2 linked regions of the Drosophila melanogaster genome follow. The protein of the gene in region 2 interacts with the protein of the main gene of each other region in a pairwise test. Each region holds a gene or a part of one and is shown on either strand. Other genes may lie near its edges. The genes, in order: CG5577 and Mccc1.

Evidence for each region.
Region 1: the proteins of Mccc1 (region 2) and CG5577 interact in a two-hybrid assay, tested with the Drosophila melanogaster proteins (one large-scale study listed by BioGRID).

Annotation. Positions count from the first base shown.
Region 1 is NT_037436.4:17,838,150-17,843,347, forward strand, and holds CG5577 (uncharacterized protein), read right to left. Parts: upstream 3,279-5,198; 5' UTR 3,235-3,278; coding exon 3,138-3,234; intron 2,575-3,137; coding exon 1,887-2,574; intron 1,834-1,886; coding exon 1,671-1,833; 3' UTR 529-1,670; downstream 1-528. Other genes in the region: Grd (glycine receptor), read left to right, coding at 1-528; CG5567 (uncharacterized protein), read right to left, coding at 3,558-4,408, 5,126-5,198.
Region 2 is NT_033777.3:31,789,790-31,795,664, forward strand, and holds Mccc1 (Methylcrotonoyl-CoA carboxylase 1), read right to left. Parts: upstream 4,119-5,875; 5' UTR 3,830-4,118; coding exon 3,789-3,829; intron 3,682-3,788; coding exon 2,916-3,681; intron 2,862-2,915; coding exon 2,355-2,861; intron 2,296-2,354; coding exon 2,004-2,295; intron 1,949-2,003; coding exon 1,761-1,948; intron 1,697-1,760; coding exon 1,525-1,696; intron 1,468-1,524; coding exon 1,337-1,467; 3' UTR 803-1,336; downstream 1-802. Other genes in the region: Acf (ATP-dependent chromatin assembly factor large subunit), read left to right, coding at 4,579-4,700, 5,193-5,875.

The sequences.
Region 1 (5,198 bases), on a different chromosome or scaffold from region 2:
AGCACAGAGTCCAAGATCTACGAAGTCATTCCGCTGTCCATGTGCGCTATTAGCATGCCGCCGCCTCCCACTCGGCTGGGCATGCTAACCTCCAGGAATCGGAGGCCCCGGAACAGGCGTCATGGTCTGTGGAGTATGAAGCTTCTGGGTCTCTTCGACTGGCGGCGAAGAAGAAAGCCGCCACGTGCCGACTCCGACGAGGATGAGGATGACGAGCAGACGCAGCTAAGGGCCAACGAAGCACCGACCACGTCTGCGGCAGCTGCGGCGGCACAAGCTGCTGCACAGGCTGCTCGGATTAGTCCTCCAACTGGAGGTCGCCGCAGGATGTCCTACTATCGACGCGAGGAGATGGAGGCCCGAAGGAAGGGCAAACGAACGCCACAGTACAATTCCGTGTCGAAGATCGATCGCGCCTCGAGGATCGTCTTCCCACTGCTATTCATCCTTATCAACGTGTTCTACTGGTACGGCTACTTGTCGAGGAGCTCAAGGATTTTGGCCAACACGCCGGATGCGAGCACCTGATGTTACCTTTTAGCAATTTAGACAGGGTCCTCGAAGAAATCATTAAGCGATCGCCGGCGGCAAACTTACAACTAAAGCTGATGGAAAGCGATGCATACGCAGAGTCGCGGAATTTAAACACTGCGATTCTATAAAATCTTTGCACATGCATCGTTTAAAATCAGCTTAAGACAAGGCGTGGGGGGAAAATCAGTTGGGGGATTGGGAAAAGCAGGGGATGGGTTTAACTTTTCAGATTCAGTTACGCTCTTATTCTGATTTGCTACCAAATGTGACACCGCTTTATGGGATTTCTTTTCGCGCTAAATTGCTAAAGTACAGAAAACAGAACTCAACTCTAACATATCAGAGGACTTGTTAAAACGGACACTCACGAAAATGTCGTGCTTCAACAGTCAAAATATCGTAAAAAACTTTCGAAAACAGGTGTTTGATTGTTTCAATTTTACACGGAAGCAAACCGCCAAAAATATAACTTCTGTGATACTTGCTTGCTTTGTTTTGACAATTAGCAGCTCACATCGATGGGTGTCCTGTAAATTTGTTGTACAGCTAACCAATAAGTTGTATAGTTTCGATTATGTGTGTGTCTTAAATAGTTAACGTTGATTGATAATTGATTTGCAAGTCACAGCACAAGGAACTTGCACTTATTTAAGCAATTTGTTTAGTTCATTGCAAATTACAACTTTTACATGGGATCACCAAGATATAGGAACGAGTAAGAAATTGCCGTCTCTGCTTTTCTGACCCGGCAAGTAATAGAAGGTTAAGCTAGTATTTTAATAAGTCACTCAGCCTATATTGTTAATTCAAAGAAAAGTTATTGGGCCTGAAAATTATTTGGGGACGGACATAAAAATGAATATTCGCAAATGGTTAGTGATTTATTTGTGCAATATGCATTGTCGTCTTTCCAAAATTTATTAGCTAGTTTTGTTCATGGATAACTTTCAGACCCAGCAATTTCTCAACCACTCTATATATGTAAAAAAAGTATCCATCAGAGAATGTTATTGTACTTGCCGGCAGATACAATATGTACAACTATGTGTAAACACATCAACTAAGGCCAAATAAAAGTCGAATTAAGAAGTTGATAACGAGTAGATTGCTGCGCGAGAGTCCCATGGATTTATGGCTCACAAAATGTTCAGCAGATCGCCCAGACGGGGCAGATAAAAGTCTGGCTGGGGCAGCCTGTCTTTTTCCAGCCGGACATCCGAGAGATTATTGTAACGACCCGTGCCCACCAGAAGCGATAGCATGCCACAATTGCTGGCGAAACCGACATCTATTTTGAGGCTACGGGAGAAACTCATTAGGAAAGATTGAAAGGATGTGTTAATCCCGCATACCAGTCACCAATCATAAGCGTTCGCTCGGTACGTAGTCCCTCGGCCTTGATAAAGGGCTCAAGGACCAATGGATTTGGCTTGCCCATCTCGAGGGCTTCACGCTCCGAACATGCCTCGATTCCGGCCACAAAGGCCCCAGTGCCGGGGATACAAAAGGATGGATACTTGTGCACGGCATCCCGGTTGGTGACCAAAAAGGCGGCGTCGGGATTACTGCAGAGGATGTGACAGGCGCGCGCCATCTTGCAGTAGCTAAAGTACTCATCCCAGCCGACCACCACGGCACCCACGTCCTTCGCCGCCTCTGGGTTCCCAAACTCGCGTGTCACAAAGTCCGGCCATTTGTCGCCCGGAGGCAGTTCATCTGTTCCGCCGGCTCCGTAGCTGTCGATTCCGCGCTGCCTTAATTCCCGCGCAATGGCCGCATTGCCCACCACATAGACCTTGTGCCGGGTCCTGTCGAACTTCGGACTCCCAACCAGATAGTCGGCGATGGCCGCCGTGGGCGAAATGATGTGTCGGTCGCTGGGTAAATGGAAGCCAAGGCGCTGGGAGCGCTCAAAGAGCTCCTGTCGCGTCTTTAGGCCATTGTTGGTAATCAGGTAAACTTTTTTGTCAAATCGATCCTGCAGGGCATTCACCACATCCGGAGCACCAGCGATGGCCGTGTCATCCTGCCATATGGTGCCTGTGCGTTTAATGGATATTTGATTTGGTGTCATTTGAAGAGGTTTGAAATGAGAGATATATTTTATAAAGTAACTAAATAATATTGGAATTAACACGAGTTTTGGCTTTATTTTAAAATAATTACGAACGAAATTTCTGTTTGGTAAGCCCAATAGTACATGGGAAATTTATACATTAAATTGGAATGATCTGCGAGAGATCAGAGAGATTTTCAGGTATAAACATATTCCTATTGATCAGGTATAAATATATTCCTAAAAATGTAAAATGATTTCAGCAGCGTTAAGCCTTATCAACTTTTTCTAATTATTAACGATTTTACGTTTAAAGTTATCCACTTACAAAATGAATAACAGTAACAATCGATGTAGCAGGCCGATGAAATGTAAACTTTTAGCTACCGCGATCGCCAAGCTTTTCCCCTTACCCATGTAAATTACCATCGATATTTTATACTCTGTTTTTTCAGTGAAGCGACAACTCTGGTAAAAGCTCCATAGCAGCACTCACAAGCCCAATGAACCCTCTCTCTGTGGCACCTTAGCCGCCCTTGAGACTCACCGTCGCCGTCGCAGAGAACCGTGTCGAAACTTTGGAGCCACTCGCTCACCTGCTCCTCGGATAGGCCGGTCAAGTCGATAGCACCGCCTCTGGACATTTTGCTTCGTAGACCGCTTCGCCAAATGCTTGCGACTCAACTAAATCGACGGCGACGGGCTGGCTGATTTCGATTCACGGTGATTGGGGAAAATCTGCTATCTCCCTTTCGCACAAAGCTCGCTCGGAAAAACAAATTGAGTCGGGCATATCGGTTAAATCATCCGTCTCACAAAATGCTTTTGAATTTATTTAAATATTCTTTGTTCTGTGGTATAAATTGCACTATAAATTTGCGTTAAGTATTAATAATCTTTCCTGTCTATTGAAGTTAAATGTAAAATCTATACAAACACATGTCCGTACTATTTACTGATTACTGATTCATTTCAAGTCCGTCAGGCTGTTCACGATCGACGGCAACAGATCTCCCAACTTGGGCAGGTACACGTCTGGTATGAGCTTCTTCTCCTCGGGATCCTGGCTCAACTTCCAACGCTCCACGTCCTTCAGCTGATGGATTCCGGAACCTACAAGCAGGGTCTGGAAGCCGCAATTGAACCCAAGAAGTATGTCCGTATTGGCTCGATCTCCGATCATCAGAGTTCTCGATGGATCGATCTTCTTCTCCGTGACCAGAGACTCACAAATGGCAGGATTCGGCTTCCCGATCACTACAGGATCCCGCTCCGCACAGGTTTGAATGGCCCGCACGAAGCTCCCGCTGCCTGGTACTATCATATTGGGCATGGGGAAACGCTCATCCGTATTGGTAGCCACGAACAGACACTCCGGGTCGTTTAGGTAGGAAGCGGCCTTCATCATCTTGGGAAAACTGAAGTGTTCGTCGAAGCCAACGACCACGGCTCCGATGTCCGTGTCCAGTTTTAAATGCTGTGCCATGAACTCGGCCAGCGATCCCTTCATGGGTTCCGGGCCCACCTCAGTGTGCTGAATGCCCACGGCGTCCAGTTCCTTGGTGATTCCCTCGCTTCCGATCACAAATACCCGCTTGCTGAAGTTCCGTCGTTTCAGGTACGCAGCTGTGGCATGGGCCGTTGATATAATGCCATTCTCCTTGATATGAAAGCCCAGTTCGACGCCTTTCTTGAGAAGTTCCGACCGGGTCTTCGTCGAGTTGTTAGTGCAAAAGTAGATCGACTTTCCCATACCCTTCAACTGGTTCATCACATCCACAGAGCCCTCCAGGGCCTGGCCATAGATCCAAAGGACACCTGATGTGAAAAAATGGATTAATATTGTAGAAGAATTTTCTTAAAATTAAAAAAAGAACGGTGCTAAATAGGTTCTCACTTTGTAGTTGTTAGTTTTATTAATGCCATTGCTAGTTTTATAAAGGGCGTTATTGATTTCTCAATATCTACAAAAAGTATACTCATATTGTTGGTAATTTATTTCTAAAATTGATAAATTAATCATTCAAAGGCAAAGAGGACAGTTTGAAATTAATTCCAATTAAGTAAATTGGTAACTTCGCAAAGATACATAAACGAAAAGAAATAAAAGCTGTTATGATTAAAGAAGGCATTATTGCATAAAATTAATAAATAATGGGGTTGAACACAACTTTTGATATTGCGTATATAATAACGATTTCCTTGAATTGATAAGATTGTCTAATATTAATAAACTTAGGGCTCATCACTATGAGCATTAGGGAATTTATCAAACGGCTCTTTACTGCTTTACTCTTTACTAAATATAACGATGATTAACAAGATATGAGGGCATCCGAAAGTCGACTTCCCGCCATATCACGCACTTCACTCTTTGACATTGAAATAAACGACGCAGCCACAATACAGAAACTATTGGCTGCTGACGTATTTGGGCAGAATGTGGTATACACATATCTTTATGTAACGCAACTTCCTGGGGGGAATCCTGGGTGGGTGCGAGTTAGTAGTATCTCATCCCCACCACCGACTTACCATCGCAGTCGGTTATTACACTGTCGAAGCCTGCTAGCCACTCGGTCACCTTGGCGGAGGATAATTCCAGGAG
Region 2 (5,875 bases):
CCTGACAATGAGAACGGTGTGGACAGGTGTTTACTAGTGGGGATCCCCACCGTCGAAAACGAGACTTAATGGGTAAATACGAGAAAAAGAGCAGAATCCGTAGATATTAACAAAGGATACTTGGTTGGAGCGATGCGAGTCAAGGAACGAAAGTCTGGTAGATAAGGAGATCAAAACCAGCAAAGGTGTTTATTAGCTATCGAACTTTATAATTACCTTTAATAATAAACAAATACACCAATTTTTTGTTTGGTTTTCTGTTTTGTTAAGCATTAAAAGGGATATGTTTATTTCTCCTCATTGTAAATGTGTCCCTTTTAATGTATAAATCTAAAAAAAAAAAATGAAAAGAACACCTTAAACTAACTCCCACAACACTACACAGAAACGGACGTAGGCAGAAAGAAACACACTCATAATCTATAAGAAGCGTTAAGTTGCACGTTTACAGTACCATATAATTGTATTTATATAGTATATAAATGATGTATTACGTATTGAAGCCGAGCAACACTTACTATACTAACCGAAAAAAATCAAAATGATGGACACTTAGATACGATACTAGGAAAAACTAATCGAAACGAATCGGCTGATTGTAAGAATTAGGGCAAGAAACCAAATTGCATCTTTAGTACTCAGTACTCGCCTCTGAAACTGTTTCCATAATCATATTTCAACGGCATGAACCGATTTAATGGGATGCTAATTAAAACAAAACAGTATAAACTCAAGAGCAGAATGGACTAAAGCAACACGAGCATAAAGAAAACTTGATTATGGTCATAAGTACATATATTTTAAATGATTAGTGTTTTGTATTAAGTGAAATTTGTTAAACATTTATTACATTTTTATGTTCTAAGTTGCGAAATAAATGCGAAGAGAAAGCAAAGCGCGCAATGTCATTCATGCCTTCTCTCAGTTTCCATTTCCGTTTCCGTTTACCGACAGCAATCAACTCAAAGTCTAACTTTTATGCCGCGAGATTTTGTACGGAACTCAATTTTAAATTATGTATTCACAAAGATGTATTACATTTGGGAAATTAATGTTCGTTACATCCATTAAATTCAGCGAAAATGAAACAAATAAATCACTTTTTAAAACCATTACTTTTGGCTTCCTTACTTACCCACAAAAACAATTCATGGCTAACAGTTTTAGACGTTTAATGGGTTAAAGATAAGAAAATTCCATTAGATGGACACTTTTTTACTTAACGATAATAAATGCACTTCGTGATCCCTGAACCAAAAGCAGGCTAGTTAATATTTAAAATATAATTTTGTTTGTAAATGCAACAACTCTCTGGTACGTTTCGAAACATATTCCGTTACTTTTCTACTTCCTCGTCGACGAATGTAATCACGGCCGCTCCCTTAGCAACGTTATCGCCCGCGGCTCCTCCAATAGACTTAATGGTGGCGTCCTTTGGAGCTTTTAGAATGTGTTCCATTTTCATGGCTAAAATGCAAAACTGTTTTTAAAACTATGTATAATCTAAATTTATATTTTTTTTACCAATAAGCACTGCCAAGTTTTCGCCCTTCTTGACCTTGTCACCGGGCTTTACCAGCACCTTCTCTAAAATCCCGGGCATGGGAGCCACTATGCGAGACCCAACTGCACCCAATTGATCGCCCTGGGCACTTAAGAATTTCGGCTGTCCCACCTCAAAATCGACCTTGCCACTCTGGAAAAGGGAATCAATTAAATACAAAATACAAAATGTTATCAATTGAAAAGTAGATTCTTACTTCCGAAAACAAAGAGACACTAGTGCCATCAATACTAGCATTATATGTGGTGACGTTGCTATTGATATTGGCACGAATTTTTAGACGACTTCCATCCTGAACTCTTTCGACCTTTGCATCCTGCCAGTCGCCATTATCCACCTGAATTTGCATATCCTCGCCATCAAACTTGACAGCCACAGAATAGACTGAAAGATTAAATAAGCTTACCAATTTGATTTTAAATTTATATATGTGGTTTACCCTTCTCATTGGCTTTCAAGTCATATCTGCGAACCAAAGAGTAATTCAGACGAGCGTTAGGGGTGGCAACAAATGGATCCTGATCTTTGTTTCCGTTCCTAAAGGCTGCCTGCAACTCGTTTAAGACTAGCGCCAAAGCAGCTTGGCTGACTTGCTGCGGACTGATGATAATTGGCGGAAATAGAGTATCGAACTGCTCATCGATAAAGCCAGTGTGCACATTGGCCAGCTGAAACTCAGGATGCGACGCAAGGTCGATGAGGAAATTAATGTTAGTGTCCAGACCAGATATCTAAAATTGGTTTACCTTTAGGGAAATGTCTTAAAGGTACAAATTTTTAATGTTCTCACATGATATTCACCCAGGCGGGCAACCAATGAGTTAAGCGCTTGTGTGCGGTTTTCGCCCCAAACGACTAGCTTGGCAATCATGGGGTCGTAGTGCACAGACACCTCATCTCCTTCTCGGACACCCGTCTCCACGCGAACGTTGTTTGATGGTTGGGGAGTAGACAAATATCGCAGGGGTCCGGCTCCGGGCAGAAAGCCTCCGCGAGGATTTTCTGCATAAATGCGAGCTTCAAATGCGTGGCCACGCCGCGTAATCTCAGATTGCTTCAGGGGTAATGGCTCACCGGCGGCAATGCGAATCTGCCATTCAACCAAATCGGTGCCCGTAATCATTTCCGTTATAGGATGCTCCACCTGCAGGCGGGTATTCATTTCCATGAAGTGGAAAGAGAGATCTTCTTTGTCTAGAATGAACTCCACGGTGCCAGCTCCTACGTAGCCCACAGCTTTCGCTGCACGAACAGCAGCCTCGCCCAGCTCACGACGCAAATCTTCCGACAAACCTGGCTGTTGTATAAATGAGCATTATTTTTAAAATAGCCGAAGCTCTTGTGCACTTACAGCTGGCGCCTCTTCAATAATCTTTTGATGACGTCTTTGCACGGAGCAATCTCTTTCCCACAGATAGACAGCATCACCATACTGATCCGCAAATACTTGAACCTCTACGTGGCGTGGAGATCGGACGTACCGCTCCAGAAGCACAGAGCTGTCGCCAAACGACTTCTCGGACTCGGTGCGAGCTGAGTTCAGAGCGGTGAGGAAGTCGTCCGGTTTTTCTGCGATTCTCATGCCTTTGCCTCCGCCGCCGCGGACGGCTTTAATCATCAAGGGAAAGCCAATTTTGTCGGCTTCTCGCTGCAAACACTCATCTGACTGATCATCGCCATGGTATCCATTGATGATCGGCACCCCAGCAGCGGCCATTATGGCCTTGCTGGTGCTCTTAATCCCCATGTCCCGGATGGCGGAACTGGGCGGACCCATGAAGATGATGCCCTCACGCTGGCACAACTCGGCAAACTCGACGGACTCGGAGAGGAAGCCGTAGCCTGGGTGGATGGCCTGGGCGCCCGAACGCTTGGCTATGTCCAGGATGCGTTCACCGCGAAGATAGGAAGCCGAGGAGGCAGCTTCCCCCACGCGGTACGACTCGTCTGCCAACTGCGTGTGCATGCTCTTCTCGTCCGGATCCGAGAACACGGCCACGGTACGAACTCCCAGCTTGCGTGCGGTTCGAATCACCCTGCATGCGATCTCACCACGATTTGAAATAAGGATCTTGCTGATAGGCCGAACTTTTGGGCTGGCTTCTGTTGCAAAGCACCTGCGTCAAGCCAAAACAAATTAGCAAGGTTTATGTAATCGTCAAGAACGAAATTAAGTCTTTTGATTTAGCGGCCTTAACAAAGAACTGCCGATCATTTCCCTCACCTGGCGTTTGCGCCGAAGTTTCGCAGCAGTCTGGCGTACATTATTAGTAGAATTAATTGTAAGAATAAATAACAAATATACTTTATTCAGAGCAAGTGTGCGATCGTCGCTTATCACAGCTGGAAAAACGCACACGCACAAGATCGCAATTGAGATGGGCGACTCACGAGATGCATGGTTGAAAATATTAATGTTTCATATATCTTTTGGGGATTATCATATATCATCAATATCTTTTAGGGAAATTGATATTACGTATATTGTGTTTTTTTTAAGTTGCAACCCATAAAAAATATTACCGTTATATTATTCTGGACTATTTATCGAACTGTTGACATCCATCCGACCGCGTCCTTACGGTTTTCTGCGCTCGTGAAGTTCGGTAACATTGTTCGCAGAAACTCGATAACCGATAGTTTAACGTCGAAGAGCGATAGGCCCCAAAATATGCGCGTGAAAATAGATTGTGCGCTATAAAATAAACGGATTTAGGTAGTTGGTGTTGAGGAAGCCAGCCACAAACATAGTAGAAATTGTCGGAAAAGTGTCGCCCGCCGACAGCTTGTATAATTGCGTCGGAAGTCAACGCGCGTATCGCTGGAAAACCGTTTGCATCGAAAGCCCCTCCGGAAAGGCGTGAAAAGTTGGGCGCCTTTTGCGCTTGTCGCTTGGCGTTGTAAAATTTATCAGTTGCTCCGCGGTTGTTTTTATTGTGAACTGTTAAACGTGCACTTCGAAGGACTGCCATTTAAACTTAAGGACATTCAAGAGCAAAAGGAAAACACCAAACATGCCCATTTGCAAGCGGGAAGGATTCGACCTGAATCAGAAGGAGGGCAAGAACGAAACATTCCACGACAACGACCAGGTCTTCTGCTGCTACATCACTAAGCGCATTTTTCGCGACTATGAGTAAGTGCATCCTGCTACCATTCCTGCAACTGCCCCTTCCCTTCTCCTGCCATTAGGTGGACGCTGCGCTAAAGTATACAACAAAAGCGACGCTGCAAAAGCATTTGCACACGATGTACCGTACATCACCATTCAGTGTGTGTGTGTGTGTGTTCGCAGGGGTGCATAAGTGTGCGAGTCTCGTGGGCCAAAGGCGAAAAAAACGCTGTTCGGTGGCGGGAAGAAATTACAGCTGCCGCCGCACAGCTGCTCGCCGCGGAGTTGCCACCTGGTGCCAAAGCGCGCGCTCTTGAATTTGGAATTTGTTGACCCAATTCGACTTATATGATCCTTCTAGATATTTTTAAGATCAGCAATTATTTAAGAGGCTGGGTAGCGCGAAACTATTTTAATAAATAGCAAACATACTAAATATGTTTTACTCTGACAAGCTTCAATTATATCAAAATAAATTGACCTTAAAACGCTGATCGATTAAATTTATTTATCCAGACACTACTTCCGGCACGTGATGGTGATCAACTCAACGGTGTGGCAGTGCGAGGCCACCGGCAAGGAGAACCTCACCTACGAGGAGGCGGTCAAAAGTGAGCGGGCGGCTCGCAAGAAGATGGAGCAGTTCAAACAGAGCCTTCGGGCACCCGTCCTTCTGGTTGTGGAGCACGCCCAACAGTCGGCGGTCAACACCTTGAACATGATAGTGGCCAAGTTTCTGCGCAAGCGCTACTTTATCGGCGAGGAGGTGTCGGTGCAAGCTAAGAAGAACGCCACGTACACGGTGTTGGGTGTCAAGTTGGACAAAAATATGCCGGAACCACTCAATGGTATCTATGAGGACACGGACAACCTGGTCTACAGACTACGACCAAACAAGGGCGATCCCAGTGCAGAGCTTGATCTGCCCTTTAGGCAATTACGTCGCTCGCGCATGGAGTTTAACCTGGAAAACCTGAGTATGTTTATAAAGAGCAATGTATCGCGGGTGGATGGACTTCTTCGACCCAAGCCAGAGGCATACAAGCAGTACGTGACGGACCCTGGCGTAAACTTCTCCACAATTTTCATTGGCAAAATGCCACGTTATTCTCCCGCTAAGATTAAAAAACCTGACGGCAAGAAGCAATCCACTCTCAACAAATATATTGTCGCCGGTGAAGCAACGGCTGCAAAGTCAA